Kluyveromyces lactis: one gene and its partners. The protein of the gene in region 1 binds, or shares a complex with, the protein of each later gene. Links are inferred from orthologs where the notes say so. Each region holds a gene or a part of one and is shown on either strand. Other genes may lie near its edges.

The links.
Region 2: the proteins of UBC9 (region 1) and KAP122 are in contact, whole or in part, in a crystal structure (PDB 6Q83), measured with the Saccharomyces cerevisiae proteins. The link is inferred for Kluyveromyces lactis from reciprocal best matches to the Saccharomyces cerevisiae genes UBC9 and KAP122. Residues at the interface, in NP_010219.1 of Saccharomyces cerevisiae: Arg13, Arg17, Lys18, His20, Pro21, Phe22, Gly23, Phe24, Lys27, Lys30, Asp33, Gly34, Ser35, Met36, Pro128, Glu131, Pro132, Trp134, Arg135, Ser136, Arg139, Asn140, Glu143, Lys146, Lys147, Leu150, Lys153, Gln154, Tyr155, Ser156; in NP_011499.1 of Saccharomyces cerevisiae: Ala308, Ile367, Asp371, Arg427, Val429, Asp430, Leu433, Asp434, Asp437, Thr440, Asn441, Asn489, Glu492, Asp493, Asp500, Ser504, Arg606, Lys656, Val659, Lys663, Ser698, His699, Phe700, Asp754, Asn757, Cys758, Tyr761, Asn820, Ser821, Ala822.
Region 3: the proteins of UBC9 (region 1) and UBA2 are in contact, whole or in part, in a crystal structure (PDB 3ONG), measured with the Saccharomyces cerevisiae proteins. The link is inferred for Kluyveromyces lactis from reciprocal best matches to the Saccharomyces cerevisiae genes UBC9 and UBA2. Residues at the interface, in NP_010219.1 of Saccharomyces cerevisiae: Met1, Leu6, Gln10, Glu11, Arg13, Lys14, Arg17, Lys30, Asp33, Gly34, Ser35, Met36, Leu38; in NP_010678.3 of Saccharomyces cerevisiae: Asp474, Ser476, Leu478, Gln483, Arg484, Leu485, Leu486, Asp488, Tyr489, Asp490, Phe491, Asp493, Leu494, Leu511, Ser513, Glu515, Glu516, Gly517.

What each region holds. Positions count from the first base shown.
Region 1 is NC_006041.1:442,012-444,426, forward strand, and holds UBC9 (E2 SUMO-conjugating protein UBC9), read left to right. Parts: upstream 1-1,434; coding exon 1,435-1,908; downstream 1,909-2,415. Other genes in the region: PEX19 (Pex19p), read right to left, coding at 188-1,090; SYO1 (Syo1p), read right to left, coding at 2,251-2,415. UniProt on the Saccharomyces cerevisiae protein: E2 ubiquitin-like--protein ligase mediating SUMO/Smt3 attachment to septins and PCNA. Seems to be involved in degradation of S- (CLB5) and M-phase cyclins (CLB2).
Region 2 is NC_006037.1:432,395-436,521, forward strand, and holds the start of KAP122 (Kap122p), read left to right. Parts: upstream 1-1,186; coding exon 1,187-4,127. Other genes in the region: ATE1 (arginyltransferase), read left to right, coding at 1-827.
Region 3 is NC_006041.1:285,485-289,183, forward strand, and holds UBA2 (E1 ubiquitin-activating protein UBA2), read right to left. Parts: upstream 2,504-3,699; coding exon 629-2,503; downstream 1-628. Other genes in the region: KLLA0_E03081g (Rho GTPase-activating protein), read left to right, coding at 1-331; isocitrate dehydrogenase (NAD(+)) IDH2, read left to right, coding at 3,341-3,699. UniProt on the Saccharomyces cerevisiae protein: The dimeric enzyme acts as a SMT3 E1 ligase. It mediates ATP-dependent activation of SMT3 and formation of a thioester with a conserved cysteine residue on AOS1.

The DNA of each region.
Region 1 (2,415 bases):
GCATAGTATATTGGTTATTATTGGTTTAGAGCTAGTCTCGTGATTTCAGTCCTCAATATGAATTTCAAAGTCGAAAAGAGAAAAATAGCCATATTATTCGAATATCATACTAATAGGCAAAGAGTGAAAGAAATAGAATAATAGTTTATTATGATTAAATATTATATTATGAGCTCATATACACATTTTATTGCTGTTTGCAGGTATCTTCAAGGTCTTTGTCGATGTTACCTAGATTTTCATCTCCTTGTATTTCCAGCATCTTGGCTAATTCTGACATATCGTTTCCAGGATCGTTACTAGTTCCCTTTGCAACCGGTGAGTCACCGAGTTGCTCTAGTTCATCCAATAGATCTGCGATCTCAGCATGGTACTTTTCATTCGTATAATCATCGCTTTCGAATACACCGATGATCTGATTCACAAGTGCATACTGTTTCTTGTAGTTATCAATCTTGTCGCTGTGTTCGGGGTCTTCTTCGTGTAATCCCATCCACTCGGTGAATTCTCCCTGCATTTGTTTCATCGGCTGATATAGCACTTCTTTAGAAGACATTTGTGAAAGCATTTTCAAAATGGCATTGTCCATTCCTTCTCCGTCCGTACCGTTGCCATCGCCGTTTTCCACTAGTTGATCTAGCAATTGGGAAAGAATATCGTCTGAGTTCTGATTTTTCTTCTCTTCCTCCAAACTTTCATCCACTTTCGTAGAATTTTCTTTCAATCTATCTAGGGTGTTGGAAATGATATTCTTGAAACCAGTACCGCTCTTCAATTGCTCCTGAACGTGTTTTACACTGTTATGGTCTTTCTCCTTCGATGCATCTCCAAGTACAGTTAGCAATGTCTCGAAATTCTGAACCATTTCTTGGTCAGTATCACCGCCTTCCTGCTGCATCAATTGTTGGAACTGTTTCTGCAAATCTTCCATCATCTCGACTACTTCTGGATCATCGCTCTGCGTAGCAGGCTCACCCTTAGTAACTGCCTCATTTGGAACAGTTTCTTGTTTTTCCTGTTCATCCAGTTTGCGTGGATCCTCTAAATAGTCATCCAAATCATCAAATTCGTCAACTTTGTTGTCTGACATCGTTTGTCGAAGTATCTGATTACTATCCGTTGAAATTTTGGTGGTGCGTAGCCCTTACTATTAATTATACCTCAGTTAAGGTTTCTTTAGTCACTGTCAATTCTGAAAAATATCACTTTTTCTTCAAAACACTATTGATGCTTTTTCTACAATATCAAAATCATCTTCAAAATCACAAACAAAAAGACGTATCGCACGGAATATCATATCCTCCAATTATTCAACAACGGTAAATCTGAGTTAAGGCTCTATTTACAACAGGGCGCAACGTACCTTAATATATTTACGGTATCTGTATATTAAAGCGACTCGACGATCAGAACGGCCGAATAATATAAACAGTCATGAGTAGTCTTTGTCTACAGAGGTTACAAGAGGAGAGAAAGAAGTGGAGAAAAGATCATCCTTATGGGTTCTTTGCCAAACCAACTAAAAAGACAGATGGATCTATGAACTTGCAGAAATGGGAGGCTGGTATCCCTGGAAGAGACGGCACTCTCTGGAAAAATGGTCTTTATCCTTTGACCATTGAATATCCTGATGACTATCCGTCAAAACCTCCTAAAGTGAAATTTCCAGCAGGATTTTATCACCCTAATGTTTATCCCAGTGGAACCATTTGCTTATCAATCTTGAACGAAGATCAGGACTGGAGACCTGCTATCACCTTGAAACAACTCTTACTTGGTGTACAGGATCTTTTGGATTCTCCGAACCCTAACTCACCTGCGCAAGAGCCAGCTTGGAGAGCTTTCTCGAAAAACATTAAGGAATATGAGAGGAAAGTCTCAGAACAAGCTCTTAGGTATACCAAGTGATACCTCCATAATACAACTTCGGAAGTAAACCATTTACTGACAGAGAAAATGCAAATACGCAGATGACGGCAGATATCAACTTGCGGGAAACCCTGGGCCTTCCCCAGCGTAAAGCGCAAATCAAATAAATTTGCTGTATTCTATGGCTCGATTTATTCTACGGTGTTGACCATTGTTATATGGCTGTATAGAGATATATCATAGGATGGAACGATCCAGTAGGTGTATAGTTCTCGTGTAAAATTTAAAATTAATATCAAGAATAATGCTAATGAATACTTGATTTATTCAATTATTTTGTATTTTACTATTATCAGGTGTAGACTGTATATATTTATTGTTTTATTTGTTACGTTCATTTTGTTTGTATGCAATAAAACTATCCAATGTAGAAAAGCAATCCTGACATCTTTCTTTCAGTTGAGGATCTTTGTTCTTGTCAACAAACTTGAAAACATTCTTCAAATTTAATGAAACCTGTGTTTGAAGTATCGAAAGATAGTTCAA
Region 2 (4,127 bases), on another chromosome or scaffold:
CTGCTCATGAGTGTTACTATCATAATGGGAAATTGATTGCATTGTCTGTACTGGATTTTTTGCCCAGTGGGGTATCATCAGTCTATTTCATTTGGGATCCAGATTATTATGATTGGTCGTTAGGTAAGGTTAGTGCATTAAGAGAATTGGCTTTAGTGTCAAAAATCGGAAGGCCGTACTATTACCTAGGTTACTACATAGACGACTGCCCAAAGATGAACTACAAGGCCAAGTTTGGTGGTGAAATTCTTGATGTCTGTAATCAAAAATACGTGCCATTATCGAAGATCCATCAGATTATTAAACATAACGAATTGTTTGTCGGGCTGAACTCGACCGTTGCCTCCCCAGATAGCGAGATTCTCATCACCAGTGCATCTGACAAAATAAACTTTGATGAACCATTCATTAACGCTGTTGATGATATATATGGCCCCAATGGGAATGCTTCTCAGAATGCCATCACTTCCGTCGCTAAGTTAAGAAAATATGGAATTAATTACTCTCCTGATCTGCAACGTAGCATTTATAAGGAGATTCCCAATGATGGCAATTCCACTTCATCAGCATCCTCAGACAAAAAAGATGTGTATCGAATTCCAAATGTCGTTCCAGGTTTAGTCCCATTAATGGAGATTGTTTCTCTTTTTGAATCGGGCAAAATGAACGAATTGAACAACAATGTTGTGTTATTTGACACGAAAATCAATGCGCTTAGAATTGTCAGGGATTTTATTTCAGAAAAGCCTGAAATTAAAACTGTTATCACCGATGTGATAAGACTCATTGGATTAGATAATACAAAAAAAGCCATAATAATCATATAAAGAGCCTATTTAGGTAGAAACTACGATACAATAAAAACTATAAATGATCTACCTTCACGGGTGTATCGAAAATTATATAAGCAGCAATAACTAGTCTTAATAACTTCCATCTTGTCATTGTACTGCAGAGTTCTCTTTTCGTCAACATCTGCAATGAATGGCATGGCTTGCAGAAAAGATAGAAAAAAAATTCGAAAAGCTTCAACTTCTACCATTTAATGTAGAAGAACAAGAAATATATCTGATAAAAGAAAGGTCAAGTAAGAGCATATTCCCCTCGATATCAGTGTTTGCATGAAGCACGATCTGGTGACACATTAGTGAGGATTTAGTTAATTTCAGTAGATTCTCAAAAAATAATGGACATCAACCATATTGTTTCCCTTATTGAAACTTTCAACAACAGTCATGATTCGAAGGTAATAAATGACATTCAAAACGTATTGCAACAACACCAAAAATCTGAGCTAGGGATTGATCTTGCCAATGCATTACTATCTCAGGAAAATGGCTCGACAAATGTGAAGTACTTTGGTGCCCTTACGTATACCGTCCAGTTAACGACATGTTTGCATACCGAAAGCCAGCTATGGTCTATCTTCCAAGGTAATTTAGTTCATCTTACAAGAATGATGTTTTTGTTTACTTCCAATCCAGCCGCCGCCTCCAATTTATTGGTGACAATCACCAAGTTGATGTCAAACCTATCTTTAATTTTTTTGACAATTAATAGCGATGCCATCGGAGCTGATTCAAATAAGATTCCTGCATGGCGCAATCCTGTAAATACATGCATCAAGCTATTGCAACATTGCAACGAATCAAACCTGTTTGAATGGAGGACAGACAATTCCGAAATAGCTGAAAGATTGGTTCGTACATGCTTGAATGAAGATGTTCCATACACGGAGCTAATTGGGAACATCAGCTCTTCTGCTCCATTAAACAAATTATTGTTATTATTCACAAAGGTTATTGTTGAAGACATGAACAAATATCAATCGAAAAAAAGTTCCTTGTCCAACGTTTATGAAATGGTACACAACCATTTATATATTAGCACTATGGCCATTTTGAATTTTAACTTGGAGAATATGATGTCTTCTGGTGCAACTTCCGAAGTATTTCCTTGCATTACCTCTTGGATTCATTACATATCAATGGCAAGAAATGTCTCCGCTCATGGAACTATGGACTTGACTGAGATGTTCAACAATATGATAAATGTCATGTGCATGGCAAGCAACGGATCCCAGGAATTCCCATATTCCGACGAGGTGATCTCAATTTTCGATGATTTGTTCTCAAATGACCCTACGCTTATGTCATTCGAAGTTCGTGCTAAACTAGAAGCAATTTTCCTTGGAGTTTCAAGGCATTCAATGAACACCTCGAACGACTGGATGTTAGCATATATGAACCATTTAGTAACAAATGAATTATATGACGATTTGAAGGTCTTGGCATCCTGTGTTGTTGACTTCTTACAAATTTCCAACCTCGACGTTTGTAACAAACTTTTTACCAATATTCATGAGAACACGGGTGACCAATCTTTGGAAGATTACATCAGGGTACTACTACAATTAACCAACTTCCCTCTTATTCCAATCTTGCAGGAAACTTATTCATCTAAAATGATAGAATTCTGGCTCGATCTAGCAGAAGGGTATGGTAATCTTCCTCAAGAAGCCTTAAAGGCAGATGCAAACGAAATCGCTGAAAACATGTTCAATCAAGTGGTTCAAATTTACCTACCGAAGATCAGTCTAATGAATAAACAAAAGATTATGGAAGAAGATGATGATCAATCTTTGCTTCATGAATTTGATGATTTCAGATCCGCAACACAGGATCTCATGGAGATATTATGGACGATCTTGGGTCATAGTAAACTAACTATCGTTCTCATTAGAGGTGTTGGCCAAGCTGACACGAATAATGTTGACTTATATCAGGTAGAGGCAATGTCATTTTTGCTTGCCAAATTATTAGATGGAGTGAATTTCTCACAATCTCCCTTCATCAGTGATGCTATCGGTGAGAACCATCTTATAGACAATTTATTGTTCTTGTTGCAAACAGGATGCAAACAGAAGGAACATTCGAAAACTGCACAGGTTTTGAAGTTAGACTTCGTTAAAGCCACATGCAATTTACTTGGTGTAATGGCCACATATTTCCACGTCGATTCCAAGCCACTTGGACCAATCGTAGAATCTCTATTCGAATGTCTTGAAACATCAAGGCAATACAATCCAATTGAGTATTCGATTAAAATGGAACTACAACTAAACAGGACGATATCGCTAATTTGCGAGAATTGTAGAAAAGAGTTAATTCCTTTCTTGCCAAATTTCATACAAGTTTTACGTTCTATTATGAGGCCCGAATCACCTGTATCGCATTTCACTAGGGAAAAATTTGTGAAATCGATCGGTAACATTATACAGATGTGCGTTTCGGAGGGTCCTGAAGCTCAAGCCAATCATATTTCTAATATGGTGGATATGATTGGAGGCCTAATACAAACCACCGATGCCAAATCTGACATGTTATCGTTACTTGCTTGTCTCAGTGAGTTAGGATCCGGCCTTTCTCAATTACCTAACGACGACGAATTTATAGAAAACAATCCAATGTACCTAGCCCAACTACCCGCATTCCAGGCTTATTGGCTACAAGATCCAATGAGAGTAAAGGACAAAGTCATGCATCTTGTACAATATGCGTTATCCAAATATGGTACTGATCCAGAATTCGTGGAAGTATCTTGTTTAATTATCGGGAAAGCTATAACTTTACCAGATGATATACCGCACTTCTTACGCTATCCATTATCTGAAATGATGTCGTTCTATATGACATGTATTTCGAACTGCGATTATGCATCTGGTCTACCTTACATCGAGTACCAGCTAGAGAAGATTGTAGCTGGATTCAAAGATCAACTAACTTCACACGAATTCGACGAAATGTTCAAACAGTTTTTCCTCAACTATTATTCCAGCCATATCTCATCGGACCCAGATTTGATCCAATCAATGGTATCCTGGGTAAATTCAGTGTTGGAAGCTAAGCCATCTCTAGCACTAAAATCAGAGTACTGGACTCAATTCATTGTGCCCGAATTCTTGAAATACTTGCAGGCAAAGGAAAAATTCACCATCAGTTCCACTACCAAGTTCTGGATGAAGACTTTAAACAACAGAAGATACACACAAGAGGATACGGAAATTATTAATGCATTATTCCAATCAATGGGTAAACAGCTTGTTTATCAGACCATGTTTTCACTAC
Region 3 (3,699 bases), about 160 kb from region 1:
AAGCAGTGCCAATGCACCTTCTGATATGATAGCATCAAGGCGCCATTCCAAAATACCCTTTTTAAACAAGCTATTTGTTAGTGATACAGAAGATGAGTATGATAGTAGTTCAAGACCATCTTCGCCTATGCTGCGCAAGACGGGCAGCACAAATAGTGCAAAAATGTTACAACTGCCTTCAATAGTGGGCATAAGTAAAGATGATTTCCCAACCTCAAAGACAGACAGCGACTTCGAAGATGGCCAAGAGGAACGTCAACCAAGATCCAAAAAACGAGAATCTTGGTTGCAAAGACTAAAAAGTCATTCAAGATCATCTATTCGAGAATAACCTGATATACCGTAATGTTTGTCACACAATATTTCAACTTTGGCAAATGGGCATATAACTGTTTTCTCATCTATGATAATGGTTGAATTCTTCTTTATTTTTCAGTTTTGGTTTTCTGGCAGTTGTAATCATTGTTTGTACTTTCCTCATCATATTTGCCATATGTTACTACGTAATAAAACTCCAAAAAATGTTGTACTATTATAATTACAGTTCTTTAATGTGCGTTTATATATATATATATATCCATCACTGTAAAACAGATATCTATAGATATGGAAGACTAGCGATGCTCAATTAATCGAGCAGGATAAGATCATCTTCATCAGATTGTGATGCATTCAACTTGGGTGTCTTTGTTGGTGGAGATGGAATACTATTTGAAAGATGCCTCTTCAAATTATTCCTTTCATCCTCGGCAGGCTCATCATCTACTATCAGGGTTTCGATGGCTTGAATATGGTCTTCAGTTCTATCTTGGTCTGCATCGACAGCTGTTTGTTCATCCTCTGCATTCTCATAAGGGGAATGATAAGTGTATGTATCTCTTGGTAGATTTGGTAACTGAAGGTCTTCCCCGCTATTTTCTGGTACAAATTCCAAGTAGAACTCAATTGACTGCCTTAATTGAGCACCATCTTCCATTTCCTCGTCTTTATAAAGAAGAAAAGTACCAGTTCTGAAGTTGAATCTTGAAAGCTTCCGGCATTCTAAATCATCAAAATCAAAATCGTACAATAAGCTGTTAGTATTAGTATCGAGAACGGAGTATTCACCAGTGAACTCATATTTTGAAATGATTTTCTGATTAAGATCGTACAAAGACATGTGCTCAACAATTGCCTTTGGTATTTTCAGTACGGCTCTTTGAATGTTAGAAGATACTGAACAATGAGGATTCTTGGGTGCGAGAGTTGGATTCGATAGATACCTATTTGTGGTGATATTACTTGCCCTTGCCGTAAATGCCATTGGAATTTCTAAAGGATTATTTGATACGTTACTCAACAAGTTTAGAACACGTAAAGAAACCAATGAAGAAAGACCGGCGATGATCGCGTTTGTAGTGGCAATGGCAGGAATAATGTTACCAGCCATTTGTTTAATATCAAAGACAGATTTAGGTGCAATGTGGAAGATGTAAGATCTGATATTCGCGGCACAAGCTACAAACAATAAGGTATCGTCATCATCCTTATCGAATTCTATGAATGGTTCCTGCCTTAATCTCAACATCAATGTCTTCGTAACTTCGATAAACTTATCTACATTTTCTTGCAATGTCCATACCTGAGCTAGATCTGTTGGGATATTATCAGATGGTAGTAAAGCACCTAAAGGTGTTGGTTTCACTCTCGTTTTCCAAAGATTTTCAATCTTTAGAAGTTTATTGATATCATCGACGAACAATTTCTTTAAAATATCTGTGATTTTCGTCTCATCGCCGGACTTGACTAACTGCTGGAGAGCATGTAATTCGTTAGTCTCCTCTTTGATGCGGGCGATTTCTTCTTTATCATCAGTACCTAAATCTTGATCATTTACGGTCTCTTCTGAGGATTCTGCAAAAAGTTGGCCAAATAGGAAATTCTTGGCCCAAACCACACAGTGGATTGGCTGTGATGGCGTGGATCTAATGGTACAGACCGGGAACGTAGTTGGTGTCTCCTTAGTGGTGCAATCAAAGCATTCAGTGACACTTGGGAAGATTGGCTGTATGTATCCATCGAATCCCGAAGTCCCAGATTCGATCAAAGGTTTATTAGTGAACTGACACATCTTATTGACGTATCTTCTTGCCGCTAGATTGTCCAATGCATTGTATATAATCGAAAACTGATCAAACCACGAAAGTGGGAACTTTTCTGTATCCATGATATTATTCTGATATGAAACTAGTTTAGAGTTGCTGAACCTTTGAACTGCTTTCATTGCAGTATTACTTTTAGGTTGTTTAATATCTCTCTTCCTAAATAAAAACTGTCTGTTCAAATTCGATAAATCAATAGTGTCCAAATCAACGATATGGATTTCACCTATTTCCAACAAAATCAAATCCTTCAAAAGCTCACAGCCAATTCCACCTGCGCCAACAAGTAACACCTTCATATCGCGCAGCTTTTCAAAGCTTTCTTTACCTATGCATTTTACCAAATTCGTCTCTCTTGCCATCGTGAATATATGCCAAACAATTGGTTGAGCTCTAAGTCTTTAGCTAAAAACTTTAAATGGTTATCAATGGAAAATATCAACAATTTGATGTTTCAAATGGTAAGCTGAGTATACTTTTTTCCTTTTAAAGGGTAGTTGTCCAAACAAGTAATGTTGCACTCTTTAAAGGAAGGTTCATAATATTCAATGGATGGCCAGCTACTATTTTTCAACGATACAATGAAAACAGCAGAGAAAAAAAACACAGTCACGTGCAAATAATTTTCACATCACATGACTGAAACCGAGGCCGTGTTCGGAGTTACCCTCCGTGAACCATCATCCTTTTCTCGGTCCCGAAACGATTTCCATGACGAGATGTTTTCCAATTCGCTGCACTACTTCGAGCCTATGTGTGCTCAGTTAATGTTGATGCATATGGGAAATTACATTAAGTATCTGAGAAATATAAATCGAATATATATATATCCTAAAATAAAGGATTTCAGAATACCTGTCGATTTCTGCAATTGAACACGGATAAATATAAGCTCGTTTTCTCGAGGTAAGGTTCTGTCTTTCCGACTGTTGAGTGATACAAAAGCAGATAAAAGGGTGTATATATACCAGTGTTATTTTGTGGTTTTCATTTTTTCCAATTAATCGTTTATCTTCTAGAGTAAGATTAAACAGAGAATCAACGTAACGACGAACTGAAATAACTCAATTCGTATCTTCAAGTCAAAACGAACGTAACCCGTCACTGATTTGACACAATATCAACGAAATTCGTCAGACACATATTTTTGGGATTTCATTATTTCTCTCCGTTCTCCTCAACAATCATACTATAAAGACATGTTCAGACAATCAATTGTGAAGCAATCGTGTAGATTTTTGGCTACCAAGAAACAACCAAGTATCGGTAGATACACCGGTAAGCCAAACCCAAAGACTGGTAAGTACACTGTTTCCTTCATTGAAGGTGATGGTGTTGGTCCAGAAATTTCCAAATCCGTTAAGGCGATCTTTTCCGCAGCCAAGGTTCCTATTGAATGGGAAAGTTGTGATGTGAGTCCAATTTTCGTTAACGGATTAACTACTATTCCAGATCCAGCTGTTGCTTCAATTAACAAGAACTTGATTGCTTTGAAGGGTCCATTGGCTACTCCAATTGGTAAGGGTCACAGATCCTTGAACTTAACCTTAAGAAAGAC